Drosophila melanogaster: one gene and its partners. The protein of the gene in region 1 purifies or fractionates together with the protein of each later gene. This does not show direct contact. Each region holds a gene or a part of one and is shown in the gene's direction. Other genes may lie near its edges.

Region 1 (7,137 bases):
ATGTGAATTAATTGTGGGCAAGGAGCTGCTTCCTGGTCGTTGTACCCACCATTTCCGTCCGGATACCGGTAGATATAGACTGCCACCAGGATGACAATCACCACGGATATCAAACTATTCAATCCTATCCTAATGTACATCGCTAGCACCTAGATTTACATTGTTCTCAACCCCATTGCCGCACCATTGCAGTTCAAATGGAAATATCCATATCCTTTTCATTTCAAAAAACAGCTGTTCTCTGCTGTTTTCTAGTGGTCATACTGCCGTCGATAGGCCAAAATAATCGAATATACTAAAATTTTGAAAAAACTCGACCGCCTTACGTTCAATATACCAAGCCGAATTTCGCGCGTTTTAATTTAAAATGTGTGCCCCTTGTTATCGAGTGTCAGCGTATGCGCGTTGCCAGACAGCTGGCAACTCCAATGAGTGTAGAAGGTGGCAGCCCTTTAAGGCACCAGCTGACCCCATAGAGCGTTTTTGTTGTTCTATCTTTTATCTTTTCTTTTACCGTTTTGTTTAGTAATTATCTTGCTTAATTTAACCGTAGTTAATTGTGATTTGCTAATTGCTTATCTTCAGTAAGTAACCACAGGTTGCAAGGTGATGCACAGACGCTGCAAATCTGTCTAATTTGCACAATTATTATAACCTTGACATAGAACAGGGGGCAATAACATTATCGATGAAAACAACAACAAAAAACCGTTTCACCAAGCGCTGTTTACTTCTTACATTGCGTTGCCAATCTTTTTGAATGTAACGGTAGTTCGGCAACAATATGTTTTCAATCCAAAAATCTATTTACGTATATAAATATAAGCAAACATATAACATAACATATATAACATTTATAACATATATCGTATTTTTTATGCTTTAAAGTTAAGTTCAGACTTATCCAAAAGCAAAACGCCCCAAAATCGCACAAAAATCGCGCAAAAATGAACCAAAGCGAAACGGTAAAATATATTTTATTCAGACGCGTTTTGGACGCGACTTTACGCGTTCGGCGCGTTTTTCGTGCGGTTTGAAGGCGTTTTTTGGCTTGGGATTGTAATATAAAGAACAGAACCATTTAAAATAACTTCTTTAGATACATATTATCAATAGAAGCTAAATAATCTATATTCCCATTTAAAATCATACCTCTAGCAACAGTCCAACACAACGAAAAGTAATAATTAGCTTCCAACAGCTGTTTTAAAATTACAAACAAAATGAACATTCAAGTGCTTAGCATTTGGATTACGATTTATTTAGATTTATTGCTCACGACCCTAGCGAATTTGGTTGGTAAAAGGTCGCGCTTTCCTTATCAATAATGCCCATAAATCTTACAGCAATTAATTAAATAACAATTCGGTAAATAAAGTACCGCTGAAAATAGAAAAACACCAGTCAGGGGGCAAACCTGTATGCCAACCGTCTGCCGATAAGCAATCCATCTCTTGGACCGTTCAGATTCGGACTTGAATTTGGATTCTGTCCAGTCATGGTTCCCAGTACCATGCCCATGCCCATGCCCAATTCCAAACCATACCATACCCATACCATGGTCTGGGTGCAAAGGGCAGCGGGAGATGCGCCATAAATAACTTGGCACTGTGGAGGTCACTTGGGCAGCTGATACCATGGACCACTAGATGCCGCGCCATGCCACCGCATGCACCATGTACTTGGAGATCCATCCTTTGGCACTTTGGCACAGTGGCTCAGATGCGATTTATCGCCGCCGAGCTGCAACTTATCTCTCGTCCAGCGGAAGCATAGAAATGCGCTCAAGAAATGAGAAACATTGAGAAAGTTTCAAGTTTAAAATTTAAATTTAAATTTATCGCCACTCGCCCACTCCTGTGCATTTATTATTGTAGAAATTAACCCCATAACTTTTACTAAATCTGCTCAGCTTAAGTTTCAGTTTTATGATTAGTTAAAGTCAGGTGAAAAGTTAAGTTTAGCCAGCTGAAAATTGAAGTTGATTAGTTAGTTTAATCTTAATGTTGCACTTAAAAACACACAGGTTAAATTTGGTTTGAAAATTTCATTTTTCATTATTACTAAGATACTTTTATAAATTTAGGGAGCCTAATTATTCTGAAAATCATTTCCTAACATTTAGGCTTCAGTTTCTGTTTTCTGTTCAAAAAGTGTTCAAACTTTGAGCTGCTTAAACTCGAAAACTTCTCATTACGCTTTTCAAAACTGTAATGCTGCACTTTCGCAATCTGTTTTGGAATATTTTTTTTTTTGCAATTTGCCATCGGGTTAATTTGCCCGTTGGCGACTTCTGTTGCTCTGTTATCAGGCCGGGCTATCCAGCCCTCCAATTCTCCGCTTATCAGTGGGCGAAGGAGGAGGAGGTGAAGGTGGAGGCGGAGTAGAGGAGGTGGAGGTGGAGGAGGTTTTGGCGAGATTGTGTGTCACGCCCGTGCCAGCTGGGGTATATAAGAATTGGGCCGGATCGGGTGGCATTCAGTTTGAACGCGCTACTCAACGGAGCCGTGTCCAAGGATTCTCGATTCTCTATTCTCGATTCCCCATCTCTCAGCTCAAGCTTAAGCTATCTCCAAGGTAGGTGCTCTCCTGCAAGCGTTCCCCGTTTTTTTTTTTCAAGTGTGTTAAAGTGATGCGAAAAAGAAGGCATAGTTTATACTGAAGACTTTTTCGAAAAAACGGAAGCATTATTAAAATTAAATAGAAATTTATGAGCTTGCACAAATTAAATTTAAATTTGGTAAAAAATATAGCTCGAATATTTTCCTTCTATTAAATGTGCTATTCAAAAACTTTTTCCCTTTTTTTTTAAATTTTTTTTTTTTTTTTGTATTAAAAAAATTTCGAAATGAGAGACTTCAGCACGGATTAAGTACTCAATTATTTTCACATGCTCCACACATCTGAGCAGCTACTTGTGAATTTGGCATTTTCGAACGCTCTTGCCCCACTGTGCCCTCTACATGTGTCCGATAACAGAAGTGCCTGCCAGTGAGCATCTCTTTAAGGTCTCCACTTGACCAATTCAATAACAGCAGCCGAATGACAACAAAAGTCAATTAAAAATCGCTAAATGCCAGGCGCAATCAAACTTAAAAGTTAATCGCAGCATCTGTTGTTGTTGTTGTTGTTGCTTTTGCTTTTGTTGAGTATGTGAGTGTAAGTGAAGGGCATGACGTCACAAGAGCACAGCTGCAACGCACAGTGGAACCATTGCTCGATAAAGCTAACGAAAAATTGTAGCTTTGCATACAGAAAAAAACATGTTAATTGTATGTATTTAAATTGGAAATACTTTTTACTAAATTGATTAAAAATATAAAACCGGAAAGTGGCATATGTTACAATCGAAAAAAAAAAACTCCATTGTGCTCCACCGTCGGCCTTTGGAAAAATTGAACTTAAAACATGGAAATGGAAGTAAATAAATAATCTCGCATTGTGTTCCGCTTGCGATGATGACGATGCCGCCGATTCTCAGCCAGTAATGTCAAGCCCCTGGTCTGGAGGTAATAAAAGCAACTCCGAGCGATGGCTTTGGGCTCAGTTTGGATTCGGAGCCAACGAGCGCAAGATGATGTTACTGATTCCCGTGATTGCAGTGTGCCTTTTCGGCCTAACGGTACTGCGTCTATAAGTAGGACCAACTAAAGAAATTGAAGAAAAAAAGTGTTACGAAAGTCAAGTGTTTGAAACTCTACAAAAAATCGCATATTTAAATGAATATTTAAATTAAATTAAATGATTAATTTAATTGCTCATTGCTCGCATATAAATTATCCTGATAATTCTATTTTATCGCAATGTTGACAGTTTGAATTATTAGTTTTTCGCTTTTGTGCGTAATTTTCTGATTTAATCCTACATCTAAATTCGAATTCTCTGTACTTCTTAATTGTTTAATTCAATTTAAAATCTAATTAAAATGGCAACCATGATAATGATAACCATGAAGTGCTATAATGCATTCCAAATGCCACTTTATATCCACTATAAATCCATATAAAATCAATTAGATGCACTAATCGCAAATCGGTTGTTCCCAATTTCGCCAACAGATGTCGTACAAGGTGGAACCATTGCCCGATTCCTACGCCGGCCTGGGCGAGGGTCCCCATTGGGATGTGGCCAGGCAGAGCCTGTACTACGTGGATTTGGAGGCAGGCAGCCTGCTCCGCTACGACTATGCGCAGAACAAGGTCTACAAGACAAAGATCGAGGGCGAAACCTTGGCCGGATTCGTGCTGCCGGTGGAGGGACGTCCGCAGGAATTCGCCGTCGGCTGCGGTCGACGCGTGGTGATCGTCAACTGGGATGGCGTCTCGCCCAGCGCCAAGGTGGTGCGCACACTGTTCGAGGTGCAGCCACTGATGGAGAAGAATCGTTTGAACGACGCCAAGGTTGATCCCCGTGGTCGCTTCTTTGGCGGCACCATGCGCTACATTGGCGATGAGTTCGAGTTCCGTCACGGCGAGCTGTACCGCTGGGAGGCCGGTGGCCAGGTGTCGGTGATCAAGGGCGATGTGGGCATCTCCAATGGACTGGCATGGGACGAGAAGGCCAAGAAGTTCTACTACATCGATACCACCGACTACGAGGTGAAGTCGTATGACTATGATTTCGAGACCGGCGTGGCTAGCAATCCCAAGGTTATATTCAATCTGCGCAAGAATAGTCCCAAGGATCATCTGCTGCCCGATGGCCTGACCATCGATACCGAGGGCAACCTGTATGTGGCCACCTTCAATGGCGCCACCATCTACAAGGTTAATCCCAAGTGAGTAGTTCACTCTAACATTCGTGATCGAGTGTTAAATGTCGTACTTCATTGCAGCACTGGCAAGATTCTGCTTGAGATCAAGTTCCCAACCAAACAGATTACCTCCGCCGCCTTCGGTGGCCCCAACTTGGACATCCTGTACGTGACCACTGCCGCCAAGTTCGATCAGCCCGCTCCAGCTGGCACCACCTACAAGGTGACCGGACTGAACGCCACCGGCTATCCCGGCGTCAACCTGAAGGTCTAGGAGCTGCAATCTCTATCTATCCTTAGCCGCAGTAAAATGTACCAATCGAATCCAAGTGCAATTATATGTTATGCTCTTTAACGTTTTAAATCGCGTCTATCAATGTTTTGCATGCTAGTTAGGTTATCCTTTTTTGCAGTTCTAGTTCAAGGTCAGCTTAAGGATCACATTCTCTCCTGGGAATATCCAGGATCATCATGTAAACTCACAAAGAGGTTGACTATGCTCTACTTTACTCTGATTTCAAACAACAATCTTATCAGCCGCAGACACACGGTAATCATCCGCGGATCTTATGGTCATTTGGAGGACGCAGTGCTCTTATGCTTCTTTATTAATCAGTGGTTCTATAAACAATTTTATACTTATCGTCTAGTCTAAAATTAAAGATAGCAAGGTGGCGTAAAAAATCAGTCGATGTTTTGGTGAATGGAGATCATCCACTCAATTTCGGTGTAGATAAACATCTGCATGACCGTCTATTCATCAGACTCCGATTCCGATTCGGACTCTTCTTCATCGTCATCATCGTCGTCGTCATCGTCGTCGTCGCTGCCGGCGGAGCGATTTAGCCGCAGCATCTCCTGGAACTGGTGTACACGGATCTTTTGCGGCACGATCTGCAGCAGAAACTCCAGATTCTTGTTCTTATTGACCACCTGGGAGAGATGCTCGTACTTGAGCGCTTCGCCCGGTCGCTGGCCGAATTCCTCCGTGTATGCCGCGCCCGCCAAATGGCGAACGAATAGCTCCGTGCACTTGGTCATCAGGAAGAGCACCTCGTTGGTGATCAAGCCCGTGTCCATGGAGCTCTTCATGATCGTTCGCACGCGGCTGAGGGGCAGAAAGGTTTCCGCGGTCGGTGGACGCTCCACGGGTGGTTGGCTCCTTGGTTCGCCCATTTGTTTACTTAATTCCCAAGCAAACTATGGCTTGGGAATTTTTTTGGTTTTAGAGCTGGGCTCACAAGTGGAGCTGTGAAACTATCGATGTTACAATCGAGGCATGAAATTCGTACCTTTCTGAGACACTATCGATTCTTTTTTTTTATTTGCTATCGATGGTTATGGTTTATGAAGACTTAAAATAAGTAACCGCAGGGCTTCCCTTAAAACGAACAATGCTGGCATACTTCTATTTTTGCAAGGAATTGGATGTGCACAATAATATATGTGTTACTTTCTCAGAATTAAGTTATAGCGCTAAATATATAAAAATTGAGAAACCCATTCGGATTTGCCTATACTTTCAGCTCTAGCTGGAGCGGGAATTTAACCAAATAACGTTGCGCCGATATGCTATCGGTAGCCACAACAAGTATTTAATAAAAGTTTTCCAAATATTTCAATTTATTAGTGGAAAAACCGCTCTAAGCAAATACCTTTAACTTAATCAAGAGATTAGGGGTAAAACGATTAGGATCTGCACGATTTATAAGGAAACATTCAATTGCAACAACATTTAGACAAGTCAATATTATCTACTTTTGTCTTTTCAGTATGCAATCAACTTTGGATTTTCACACTTATAGCTTAAAAATCTGTCTTCATTTTCGAACTCACATATAAATAAATATCAATAAATTATTATTGCACTTGATTTGTTTGCAGCAACGTTGCCAGACTTCCGTAATCGATGACTATCGAACCTATCGCTGCGCGGCATGTGCAACACTGCGTTTTCTGCTGCCCCCTTTTGGCTGTTGTTTCGTGTGTTGACCAATAAATTTTTCGCGTACTTTTCCAACTTTTCAATTACCGAACCGCAATTGCCGCCAAAATAGATAGCCGATAGCTAGTCGAGCGAGTAACCAGCGAGTTTTTGGCCAATTCACGCGACGATCAGGGGCAGTGGAAGCAGGAGCAGGATCTCGACCAGATCGCCAGGAAGCGACATTTCCATTAGAGCGGTTCAAGTGAAAGCGAGTGAGCTGCACGGCACGAGAGAACGAGACAGACAGACGGCGAGAGTGAGAGCGAGCGAGAGAGCTAGTTAAATCCTTTCGAGAATTCCAGGAATTCAAGCATCCAAAACAGCTGCTGCTGCCGCAAAATCATCAACATCATCACCATCGCTGTTTGTGAAACGTTGTTCAAGCAACGGCGTGCCA
Region 2 (4,550 bases), on another chromosome or scaffold:
TGATGGACAGATAGAGCTTCTTCAGCTGATCGATCTGGAACAAAAGGATGCATATGCTGCCCACCACAATGAAGCTTACGGGATACACGAGCCGTGCGACGACATGCTGAGCATAGGCGTCCGCTAGGAAAATCGGAAACATCATATGTGCCATGACATAGGGTATGGCCAGGGCCAGACCAATGGTAGTAACGACCGGCACAGCCAAGTCTCGCATCACAAACTTCAAGTCGAAATCGCGCAATCCATCCATGTAGGCTCGATCTAATGCACGCTTCAAGTGCCAATCTGGGCCCATCATCGTCAAGGCGATGGCTATCTTGCAGTAGAGCACTCCCAGCGCCCAATCCTCCCATAGGAAGTGGATTGGTGTCTTGCGTAGTGGAACGCGTAGGGGAATGACCACCGCCAACTCGATCAGCAATCCAATCAGCAACGGAACCAGCACGAAGATTCCCAGGAGTGTTAGAACGGGCAGGGCATATTGCAATGCCACTCGGACCCAGTGCTTTATCTTGTCGACAATAGCCGCGCGGCCTTGTGGCAGCAGGGTGACCACCGCAGCTACTACCCGGCAGACAATCCAGCACAGGTAACCACCAAGCTCAGCGGTGTACAGCTCATGCGAGCGCAGTAGTCGCTCGTTCTTTCTGGCTCCTTCCGGATCGATTGGATCTAGATTTTCAACCACTTCGCCCGCTCCTTCTGCGGCTGCCGCTCCAGCTGCCTTCTCATCCGGCTGGGAGGACCAGATCAACATCAGCCGCCGACCGATGTAGACTGGAACCGTGAGCGTCAACATGGCAGCACAAACGATGGACAAACACATGAGTGCCAACAGGGCACACAAACGTAAAGCGAACAGCGATGGCTTGTCGTACGGCTGGAATCCCACGGGTGCATCCCGTTGCATGATGGCCTGATGGGCGGCGGCAAGGTTTCGTGGTGCCGGCGCCGGTTCCACTGGCGGTGGCGGTGGAGGAGGTGGTGCTGGTGGTTGGGCTGCCGCATCCGCTGCCTCACCTTCCTGGTTTTCATTTTCGCCAGCGGCATTCTCCACGCCTTCTTCTCCAGCAGCGGGAATTTCCGGTTCCGGCTCCGGTGCTGGGAGCAGGTAGCTTCGTATGCCCAGCAACCAGGCCACCGCTGTGCACCAAATGCGCAGCAAGCCCTTTAGCCAGATGCGTGTTTGGGTCTGCTCGAAGAAGCCCGGCAAAACGATCTGGAATGGCGAGTTTAGATTGTTTAAGTTATTCAAATAAGTTTGCGGGTAACTTACTTGTAAGAGCAGCAATTGCAAGTTAACCGCTGAATCGCCACTAAGTGCATATGGCAAGAAGTCCGGACAAACCACCTGCAGAATTCTAATGGGCAGCCAGAGCATCAAGAGCACTGCAAATCCAAAGATCATAGCCGAAGCGACCAGCCGCCGGATGTGTCTCACAATTGGTACATGGATCATTTCCTGGATGGGACTGAAGTCAGGATCGTTGACATTGCGGAATATCCAGAGCACTCCCGGTCGCAGCACCTCGCGCAACAACGATACAAACGCAGCGAAGTAGTAAACGTATACCATGCCAAACATCCAGTGGACAAAAAGTGAGGTGCCCGGAGCAGCCTTAAAACTCTCTTTACGATCCTTGAGGCTGGCATCTAGTAGGGGCAACGAACAAATGTCCAGCCACCAGCCGCAAATCAGCGGGAGTACTCCGATCTCCAACACCGACAGCAGCGACACCTTGACCACAATATAGCACAATCCAATGAACCAGCAGACTCTCCGCAGGCGGAAAACTCTGGAGAAGAAGTGCAGCACCACCAGGGTCAATCCAATGCAGCAGTAACCAAATAGCGTGGTAATCAGGCCGTGAAAGTGTAGCAGTGGTTTCTCGGGCTGCAAAAGATCCATGGAGCTCAGAATGAAGTTGCCCACGCAGTAGGGACAAAAGGCGAAGGTGAAGATGAACATGGTGTTCAGTGAGATGATCCAGAAGACGTGCTCCAGAAAAACTAGCGAGCCATCGAGTCCGAGCAGGCGTTCCCAGGTAAGCTCCTCGGCAGCCCGATCCCACTCCATGGGATTCCAATTCTGCTCATCGGCATCGGCGTCCACGACGGGAGCTGCAGCCGCTGGTGCGGCATCCTGGGCCTGGGCATCCTGCCCATCGTTGTCCGCTGGAGCCGGCGCTTCATTGTCGTCGGCATTGTTGTTGTCGTCCTGAGGCTGTGGAGCTGCCTCGGCGGCGGGATCAGGCGCAGGATTAGCAGCCGCTGCCTGTAGAGGGGCATCGTCCCGCTCCAGCCAATCGGGTCCGCCGCCATGCAGGATCTGCTCGCGCAGCCAGACCAATCCTATGAAGGACAAAAGTGTGCATGTGACCACAAAACAGCCCCGAAAGGCATCCGATGCCAGGTTTTCAACGGAGAAGATGTCAAAGGGCAGCGTGAGAATCATATCGAAGGAGCTCGCCCGGAAGAGGTACCGATAGGTCCTGTAGGCAGACAGCGGCACCACTCCGAACCAGGCCAAACCGACCAGGGTGTAATGAAGCCAGCAGCGAGCGCCCTCCAAAACGGCGGACATCAGTCCCACAAGGACATCCTTTATCGGCAGGACTCGCGGCATATCCGGAGCATAGATGGGCTGAAAGCTGAAGCTGTAGCTGCACAGCTCGCAGTATTCCTTGTGCGAGTAGCGCATCCATAACATCAGGCAGTCCTGATGAATGTACTTGATCGATCCAGTGCAGATGCACGGGTAGAAAAGAGGCCTATCCGGCTGTGCCTCGCATCTGCACACGCGGCAAATGTCGCCCTGCGACAGGTCGTCCATACTGATAACTTTTTCCCGGATCCTGGGTCTTCAGTTTGACTGAATTACTAAAGTTCCACTGGTCATTTGCGAAATTCGCTGGACAATTTCCGTAATTGACCCGAGGGTACGGGGGTTTTAAGACGATTATACCCGCCTTTTATGTGCGCCAATTAACCTTTCGATGATTACGGACCGTAATGCGATTGTAACACTTGAATTTTAACCGAAAAGTTGGGATATTATTACGACAAAACAAAACAAGACTACTTCTCAAAAAAAGGAGAGCCAATGTGTGCACACCATGAAATTGCTGATTATTTTCTCAACGGAGATGCCAACTAGTTCGATAGATTGAGAGAACGAAATATCGTTATTCATTTTTTAATCATAAATTGAAAATTAAAAAAGATTACATAGTTATGGTTAATAAATATAAGTTTTTAACTTAAATAATATAAAACAAAATTATCATGACCGGGAAGTAACAGTTAATGAAACAGTGTGTGCACACATCATTAGGCAATACCAATCCATCTGGCAACCCCACCACACTCATTGTTGTTGTTCTGATTCTCTTGTCATTATTTTGCAATCAATCGCTGAACTTTTTGCACTGAGAAATTGTAGAAAATAAGCCATGCAGCGACAGATTATTAACATTCTGGGACAGACGACGCGTCGCCTGGCTAGCGGCCAGCAAATTCGCATGCTGTCAGTTTCTGCGCCGCGACAGGAGATCTTCAAAGTCCAGAGCGCCGAGGACTTTGACAAGAAAGTAAAGAACAGCCAGCAGCCCGTGATTGTGGACTTCTTCGCAACGTAATTTTTATATTTTCAATTTGAGGACATGGCAAATTAATGTTTATATTGTAATCCACCAGCTGGTGCAATCCCTGCAAGCTGCTAACCCCGCGCATCGAGAGTATTGTGGGCGAACAGGCCGGTTCCATCAAGCTGGCCAAGGTGGACATAGATGAGCACAGCGAACTGGCTCTGGACTACGATGTGGCCGCCGTGCCCGTGCTAGTGGTGCTGCAGAACGGCAAGGAGGTGCAGCGCATGGTGGGACTCCAGGACGAGGACAAAATCCGGGCCTGGGTTGCCGCCGCCGTCAAACAGGCCAAGTAATAATTGAGAAATCCCAAAAAAAAAGTGGAGGTTGACCTCCTCGCAAATAAAGCTGAGCTTTAGGTTAATTCGGACTTTCGAAATAAATGTTTATTTACCCGTTGAAACGAAAAGTACTACGATTACACACTAAAAACTAAATGGAAAACCAGCCCGGCGTGCCGGGTCGCTTCTTGTTCCTGTCCAGAAATCTGCGGAAACCGGCTTTCGATTCATCCAGCGACTTTTCCTCCTTGGCCTGCTTCTCAGCCTTTTCGGAAAAGAAGTCGGGGAAGACAAAGGACTCCTCCCTGGGCTGGAATACACAAATATCATTGGAAATATCCATTGAATCAGGGGCTTGTAGTGGGCCATACCAATGTTACATAAGCCAGCTTCACGTCGTCTTTTTTGGTGATGTAGCCGTAGGTCTGATCCTTCTTGGTCTCGCCCATGGCAATCCGAGTACGCACATCCACCACCGGCAGCTTGTAGATCTTCTCCAGATAGTTACGCACATCGTACTTGGTCATTTCCATGGACACCGAAAAAGTGACCACATTGGGTGGCTGTTCCTCCGTGGGTCGGATTAGCTTCATCCAGAAGTTGGGAAGGAAAACGCGAA
Region 3 (7,667 bases), on another chromosome or scaffold:
TGGAATTCTACTCGTATCTAGATGCCCACTTGACTTGGGCTGTTTTTTTAGGCATTTATACCGTGTAATAATAGGGAATGGGGGTGCACAGGGTATCGTTGGGGTATGATGGGTGTAGCGAGCGTATGAGGGGAGTGATAAGAACTGGCCAAGAACGTGGCCAATTGATATGAAAATCGCTATACCTCACGTTTTCGGACGATGTTTTTTTTTTTTGAAACATTCTTTTATTTATCTTTATTAAACGTTAAATGGGATAAATTGAAGTGATTAACTTAAACTCCTTAAATTAAGGGATTCTTGTTAATAGTTCCGTACTTCGTGTTTTCTAGGTCATCTCCTAGTCCTATGCCCTTAGAGCCGAAACTCCTTTATTTTTTTCCGGTTGCTTAGCTGGCACATTTTTCCCCGACTGCCGCTGCTGGTGTGCACCTGCTTTTCGGGAACAGGACGCGCGTCTTTTGACCGCAATCGTTGCCAGGACTGGCCTGGAAAGCAAAACCAAATAGCGCTCTTACAAGCCAGGTCGCTTAACTGTTTAGCCTGACGCGCTTACATCGCAGGGGATCGCACTTATGGCTTTTGAGGACGCGACGAATTATCCTGCAGAGCGTGTGCCAAAAAAACAAGAAACCGCAGCCCGCTGCTTTACACAAATCGCAAAGGCAAAACGAATCCGAGCCCCACTCACTTCGTCCTGGCACGAAACCACTTTCGTTTATTTTAATTTGGCTTGCGGTCAAGGGGATCGGTGCTTTGGGGGATTGGGAATGGGAATGGGGACTGGGGAATTGGCAGCCAGCCTGCTGCAATCTGACAAGAGCCTGCTGCATTTAATAACTGTTTTCGTTTTTGCCGCTGTTTTCTTATGCCCTACAAAGAGGAGCCACCAGCTTAAGCAGAGGGCTTTTAAATATCTTTATAATCAATGCTATACAGCAAATTTATCTTTCATGATTTGTTGTAAACGCTCATTCTTTGGTGAGAAATCCAATAAATTCTTAAAACTCTTTATTCTTTTTTAGCCCTTAAGAGTTTTAAATCCTAAAGCGTATCATTTAAACATGTATAAGGAAGATCCATAACTCCTTTTTAGATTTAAGAACAAGCGTAAATTAGCATAACTTGGCTGGTTTTTAATAAACAACTTTTTCGCTTCATTAAATAAAAGCTACCCGCAAAAGGGGATTCACGAATCGGCTTAAAATAAGATGACTCCTGGTGCTTTTTTATATCCCAACGCGTCTTCCCGTGTCTGCAAGACGGAGCCCCCGAGTGCTCACGACTTGGTCGTGGTATAGGAGTCAATGGCAATCCCGTTTTGTGGTGCACGTGCCACAATTTGCAGCTTGCCACGAGATGTTCACCGGTCGTTCCAGCTCTTATCTCGCAAAACAACGCGCCTCGGACTTAATTAATTTTTATTTATGTTAACGAGGACTTTGCTTTTAGTTAAATCAAAGTATAGGGTTCAGATGCAGATCCTTTTCGACTCAAGTTGAACTTTTGGTTTTTGTATGCTAAAAAGGACGCTTTTGTTTGATTGAAGCCTAACTAATTTACCGAGAAACGTGGGTCTTTTTGATGAGATCTACCAGACTTCGAAATTCATACCTGTTCTTATGTAATAAGTTATTATTTAGTATAAGTTTCTTTATTGATATTTTAGATCAGTTCAATTGTCAATTTTTATTCGCCTAGCAAAGGATATTCTTAAAATCATAATTTATATAAATACAATTTTCTCCATTTGACATATTTTCTGAAAAAGTCAACAAAGCCCAAAAACAAAACAAAACGAAATGATTTTTGTTGTATTTTTTTTTATTAAATTTAATTTAATAATTCTGAATTCAAACCCGTACAATTCTGTACATCTGTAAAATTTTACATACATCATACGTTTTAACGTTTGCAGCGACATCTAGTGGTGGTCTGGATTTTCCAAGTTCAAATGTAGAGTTCTCTTGGTGTTTTCCGATTAGGTGATCCTCAAGTGATTATCAACCATTCTTATTGCAATGTATTTAAACAACTTTAAAGGTTTATTTCCTCTTAAAAATATGTGGTTAGAAAAACAACTAAAAAAGTTTAAGAGTTCAAGCCGAGATAATATTTTAATAAATCCAAAAAATCACTGCTTTTCATTCCGTACCTTAATCCCTCACTCTCGACTTGTATAACTTATTTTCGAAATACAATGCACAATATCACAGGCTATTTTCGATTAGTTTCAGTTCTTTTATTCCATATAGGGTTGGACATCATGCTCCATGCGAGCGGCCTCAGTTTCTGCACCCACGGCGCAGGCTAGTAGTGAGTTGACCGTCTGCTCCTCACCTGCCTTGTAGACGTATCCATTAGCCTTGTCGATGTGATTGCGCAAGCGGAGCATGCTGTCCGTGCTGAAGACGTCCAGCAGTTGGAACGAAACGAGAGCGTAGTCCTCCACCATGGAGCAGATGGCTGCATTCAGTTTTCGATACTTGCGCATGGCGGGATCATCGTCCAGTTTGTCCAGCAGATACTTGAGGTCCAGGACGTCCGTATAATAGTCCACGTTAAAGTGTAACTTGGTCTCGTGCTTCTTTAGCAGATCGGCCTTGGAAAGCACATTAACGTGGGGTAGACTCATCCGCAACATGGTGTTCAATGCCATCAGCAAAGTGGCAATGAATTTGGCAGGCTCCGAGCAGTAATGGGAATCTATAAGGTTAACGGTGACCAGGCTATATCTTTCACGCTCCAAACGCTCGAAAATCCGGGCCATAGCGTTGTGATGGGTATATAGCTCAACTTGGCCGGGACAGTCGAACAGGAAGTAGTTGTAAGTGGCGCTTAGTTTGCGCAGTGCCGGCAACAGCCAATCCTCCAAATGGTCGGCCAGATACTCAGCGCAGTGCATTAGAGCTCCGTTTGGTCCCAGCTTCAGGTGCTCCATGCAATCCTCCACAGTGATTAGCTCCATCACACTTAGCACCGGTTCGTAGGACATGTTTTCGTTGGCTGGATCCAGATTCACAACGCCCACCTGACGGCCCAGTTCGCGATAGAACTTAAGGGCCTCACCGCAATAGGTGGTTTTCCCAGAACCAGGAGGTCCTATGATTAGCTGTCCATAACGTGGATTCTCCACGGTCGCCTGCGTCGGAAATCTTTGCATCATTCTTGCGGAAAATGAAAAATATAAACAATGGTAGAGGTGGGGAACCACAGAGACCGATTAATTTATTTGGCGCAATTTATCGATATTTAGATAGTTTTTGAAAAATATACATTTTATTAAATTAGATAAAAATACAATTTTGATTATATATTTCCTTTTCAAATATAGGAAATTGAAAACTCAATCCCAAAAAAAAAAACAATTTTTTAGTGTATAATTAAAAACGGTAGCAATTAGTAGTTACTGTTAGTATAAAACACAGAACAATATATTTTTAATTTCCTTCCAGTTCACTTCGCTGTTAAAAAGGGGTAAACGCAGCGCAAAGTCGATATAAAGCAAAGAAAAAACCATCGATGACGACGATGGTGAAAACATCGATCTTAGCCCACCACTAATCGTCGGCGAACTTGAGTTTGGTGTTTTCATTTATCCGCGGAATTTCGCACTAATTAGTAAAGGCTTCAGGAGCACCGAGAAATCACCAGAATGGCACAACCCCAACCACCGGCGTACGAAAACAGTGAGTTGGAATCCCACAGAGATAAACTGGAGTCATGAATCCGATCCCACTCCGAATGTGATACGTAGAGAGGGGGATGAGTCAACAGGCGAAAAACGGTAAAAGCAGAAAGCAATCGCCGGAAGCACCGTGATTATGCCCATAAATGGGCATAGATGCATATGAAAGACCTTTTTAAGCAGTAAGAGGAGGCGCGTGTGGAGCCGTTGGAGCGACCCCGTTCCCGTTCGCTCCCCAAAAACGAAGCCGCACCCTATTTTCCACCCACTCCAATTTGCCGGCGTTATCTGAGTAGCAGCAGTCACAGCCCATTTCTAATCGAAATAATCGCTTAATTGCAGAAAACATCTACGCAACTCTGCCGCGCACCCAACGCGGCCAACCCATCGTTTTGGGTGCCGATCCCAAGGGCAAGAACTTCCTGTACACCAATGGAAACTCTGTGATCATCCGGAACATCGAGGTAAGCTGATATATGCTGCAGCCTGCTGCTCCGTTCCTGCCATAAATCCATGGCATTTACGTCCAAATGGTGTTTTATTTTTGGACAGGCTGCAGTTTCTGTTGCCAGTTTGTGTGTGCTTTCTGGCTTTCGGGCAGCTGTTCTATATTTATTTATATATATATGTACAGTATATAAGGCGCAAAACACAGATTCCCATTCCACAGGCCAACCGGCAAAACACAGACTGGCACATAGATACATTTCTTGTTTGCCGCCCACGCATCATCATTATGATGTTTTCATCTGGTCAAAGTGATTCTTCACAGCAGCTATGTGTTTGCCTATCTTTCACCCATTGAATCGGTATAAATTCAAAATATTTCCATGTTTCTTTGTCTTTTGTCCCGATAATCCCGCCACTTCTATGGTATCTTTAATGATCAAGAAATAAAATCTTCCGCCAAAAGATATTCAGGTTCTGGAAAATGAAATGTTAATGAAGGAAACATACATAACAAATTCAAAACCAAACACCTATGTTCATAATTAGGATCCCATTTACCATTAATTTGTTTTAATTTGCTAAAAGTGTCTCTAAAATATGTATGTATGCTTTTCCCTTTCTTCCGCACCATAGAATCCAGCCATTGCCGATGTCTACACGGAGCACTCGTGTGCAGTGAACGTGGCCAAGTACTCGCCCAGCGGATTTTATATTGCATCTGGTGGTAAGTCTCGCCCAGCAATTTCACACTTGGAGCACCCGGCTTTCGGCAACAGAGCATAAAAATCGTGACCACTATGAGTCACGCCACGGTCATGATTAGCATTTCCTTATTTGGAGCGGTTTCTTTATCTTATCTGCGGTTTTGAAGCGAGCAATGTTATTTATTTGGCTTTCTCCTCTTCTCACCAGACGCCTCCGGCAAGATTCGCATTTGGGACACGGTCAACAAGGAGCACCTGCTTAAAAATGAGTTCCAGCCCATTGCAGGACCCATCAAGGATATTAGCTGGTCGCCAGACAATCAGCGCATCGTTGCCGTGGGTGAAGGACGCGAACGTTTCGGTCATGTCTTTATGTCTGAAACCGGCACGTCTGTGGGCGAGATCAGTGGCCAGTCCAAGTCTATTAACTCGGCGGACTTCCGGCCAGCCAGGCCATTCCGCATTGTTACGGGTGAGTTCACATAATAGTCCCAAAATGCAATAAACTTACTTACACACACACACTTGTTATTACAGGCAGCGAAGACAATACTATCGCCGTGTTCGAGGGACCCCCGTTCAAGTTCAAGATGACCAAGCAGGATCACTCTCGCTTCGTCCAGGCTGTGCGCTACTCGCCCGATGGCAAATTCTTCGCCTCCGCCGGCTTTGATGGCAAAGTCTTTCTGTACGATGGCACCAGCTCTGAACTGGTGGGCGAATTTGGATCTCCTGCCCACAAGGGCGGCGTTTACGCATTGGCCTGGAAACCAGACAGCACCCAACTGCTAACCTGCTCCGGCGACAAGACGTGCCGCCTTTGGACAGTGGAGTCGCGCGAGCTGGTTAGCGAGTTTGTGATGGGCACCACTGTGGACGACCAGCAGGTGTCCTGCTTGTGGCAAGGAGACAACCTAATCACCGTCTCGCTTTCGGGCGTGATCACCTACCTCAATGTGGCGGATCCCTCGAAACCGCTGCGTGTGGTGAAGGGCCACAATAAGCCCATCACCGTGCTGGGACTGAGCGATGACCGCAGCACCATATACACGGGTAGCCACGATGGCGTGGTGACCAACTGGAACTCGGGCAGCGGCACCAACGATCGCATCACGGGCACTGGACACGGAAACCAGATCAACGGCATTGCCGCCTGGGGTGACTTTGTCTATACCTGTGGCATCGACGACAGCCTACGCCAGTTCAGCGTGGAGGGCAACTCCTACACGGACTATGTGGTGAAGCTTAACTGCCAGCCACGTGGCTTGGCCATTTTGCGCAACGAGAACATCATTGCACTTGCTTGCATCAAAGAGTTGACTCTCGTGCAGGACCAGAAGAAGATCTTTTCGCTGCCCATTAAGTACGAGGCTAGCTCGATTGCCGTTAATGCGGACACTTCCGATGTTGCTGTCGGCGGGGATGACCAAAAGTTGCACATCTACACCCTGAAGGGCGGAGTATTGGAGCCCAAAGTGGAGCTGGATCACTTGGGAGCTGTCACGGATGTTTCTTATTCGCCGGACTTGAAGTATTTGGTGGCTTGCGATGCCCATCGCAAGGTGGTGCTCTACTCAGTGGAGGAGTACAAGGTATTAAGGAATCATAAATGTCTTAATTCCATTACTAATCGAGTGTATTTTAAAAGCCTGCACACAACAAGGAGTGGGGCTTCCACAGTGCTCGCGTAAATACGGTGGCCTGGTCGCCCAACTCGCTGCTGGTTGCTAGTGGATCATTGGACACTACTATCATTATCTGGTCCGTGGCCAATCCGGCCAAACATACTATCATCAAGAGTAAGTATTTCAAAAAGAGTAGTAAGCTTTAAGCGATATCTGACATATTGTTTTCTGCCCACTCCAGATGCCCATCCGCAGTCGCAAATCACTCGGTTGGTCTGGCTGGACAATAACACTGTGATCTCCACCGGACAGGACTGCAACACCAAGGTGTGGCACGTGGAAAACATTTAAATGCGCCGGCCGTGAAGCATATTTTTATACTTATCCAGGGAGAGCAGCCAGCAGCGCCCTGGCTTCATTTCATTTAAGTGCAACAGTTTACATTTAGATATTTATGTCTTTTTCCCCGCCCTCCCCGCACACCTCATGTCATGTCTTTAATTTTAAGCCAAAAGTGTTTGCTAATCATCATATCATGGATATTCAACTACTTTGCCCCACTATCATTTTCGTATGTGTTTTTCGAACAATTTTTATACTACTGGAACTACGAACTACGAAAGGAAACACAAAGATATGTAAAGTACGCCAGCGTACATAAATTATTGTATTATGAAATGAAATATACTAGTTTTTGCATAGCTCGCCGATTACTTTTCTCCATTTGGTTGCGATCGGGAAAATTAGCTAAACACGCACAATTTCTTTGGCTTCTTAAACATTTATTCCTTTGAAAATTGTGTTTTTTTTTTTTTTTGGTTTGGTAGGTCTTCACCCTGTCTTTTTGTGTGCAAGTGTGTGTGCGTGTTCAGGTGTATAATTACAATATTTATAAAAACTTGGCTTAGATTACTAGAATGTGTGGACGTGTGCTTGTGAGAGAGCGTGAAAGCGAAAGGATTGTGTTTGTAACTTGCAGTTTGAGAGCCTCGGAGGTTGCTAAAGTTTCAGAAAAAATAAACGTAAATTGTGCTAAACGTAAGTACATAAATTAAGATAGCTAGAAAGGCGCTCGAGTGCAGAAGACGAAAAACGAATTGCGCTAATTATCACAGCCGGGTCTAAGACGTTGGTTTCGGTGGGACTAAAAGTTGACATATTCATATGTTGGGCACCTCATGAGTGGGTGATGAAAATTGG

Evidence for each region. Proteins that work in one complex are often made in the same cells at the same time.
Region 2: the proteins of regucalcin (region 1) and CG8993 purify together in Drosophila melanogaster (affinity purification with mass spectrometry, with the first as the bait; one large-scale study listed by BioGRID). This does not show direct contact.
Region 3: the proteins of regucalcin (region 1) and flr purify together in Drosophila melanogaster (affinity purification with mass spectrometry, with the first as the bait; one large-scale study listed by BioGRID). This does not show direct contact.

What each region holds. Positions count from the first base shown.
Region 1 is NC_004354.4:12,011,945-12,019,081, forward strand, and holds regucalcin (regucalcin), read left to right. Parts: upstream 1-3,538; 5' UTR 3,539-3,574; coding exon 3,575-3,622; exon of another isoform or gene 3,623-3,680; intron 3,681-4,058; coding exon 4,059-4,777; intron 4,778-4,834; coding exon 4,835-5,027; 3' UTR 5,028-5,114; downstream 5,115-7,137. Other genes in the region: CG1492 (uncharacterized protein), read right to left, coding at 50-140; Chrac-16 (chromatin accessibility complex 16kD protein), read right to left, coding at 5,507-5,929.
Region 2 is NT_037436.4:2,368,827-2,373,376, forward strand, and holds CG8993 (uncharacterized protein), read left to right. Parts: upstream 1-3,372; 5' UTR 3,373-3,455; coding exon 3,456-3,637; intron 3,638-3,699; coding exon 3,700-3,946; 3' UTR 3,947-4,050; downstream 4,051-4,550. Other genes in the region: CG1317 (uncharacterized protein), read right to left, coding at 1-1,222, 1,280-2,836; mRpL23 (mitochondrial ribosomal protein L23), read right to left, coding at 4,083-4,241, 4,303-4,550.
Region 3 is NT_037436.4:13,409,287-13,416,953, forward strand, and holds flr (flare), read left to right. Parts: upstream 1-3,556; 5' UTR 3,557-3,655; coding exon 3,656-3,689; intron 3,690-3,719; exon of another isoform or gene 3,720-3,765; coding exon of another isoform or gene 3,766-3,787; intron 3,788-4,030; coding exon 4,031-4,152; intron 4,153-4,771; coding exon 4,772-4,862; intron 4,863-5,050; coding exon 5,051-5,314; intron 5,315-5,379; coding exon 5,380-6,434; intron 6,435-6,490; coding exon 6,491-6,641; intron 6,642-6,708; coding exon 6,709-6,818; 3' UTR 6,819-7,167; downstream 7,168-7,667. Other genes in the region: CG10222 (uncharacterized protein), read right to left, coding at 2,243-3,166. UniProt on the Drosophila melanogaster protein: Induces disassembly of actin filaments in conjunction with ADF/cofilin family proteins. Together with GMF, promotes Arp2/3-nucleated actin filament array disassembly. Essential for organismal and cell viability.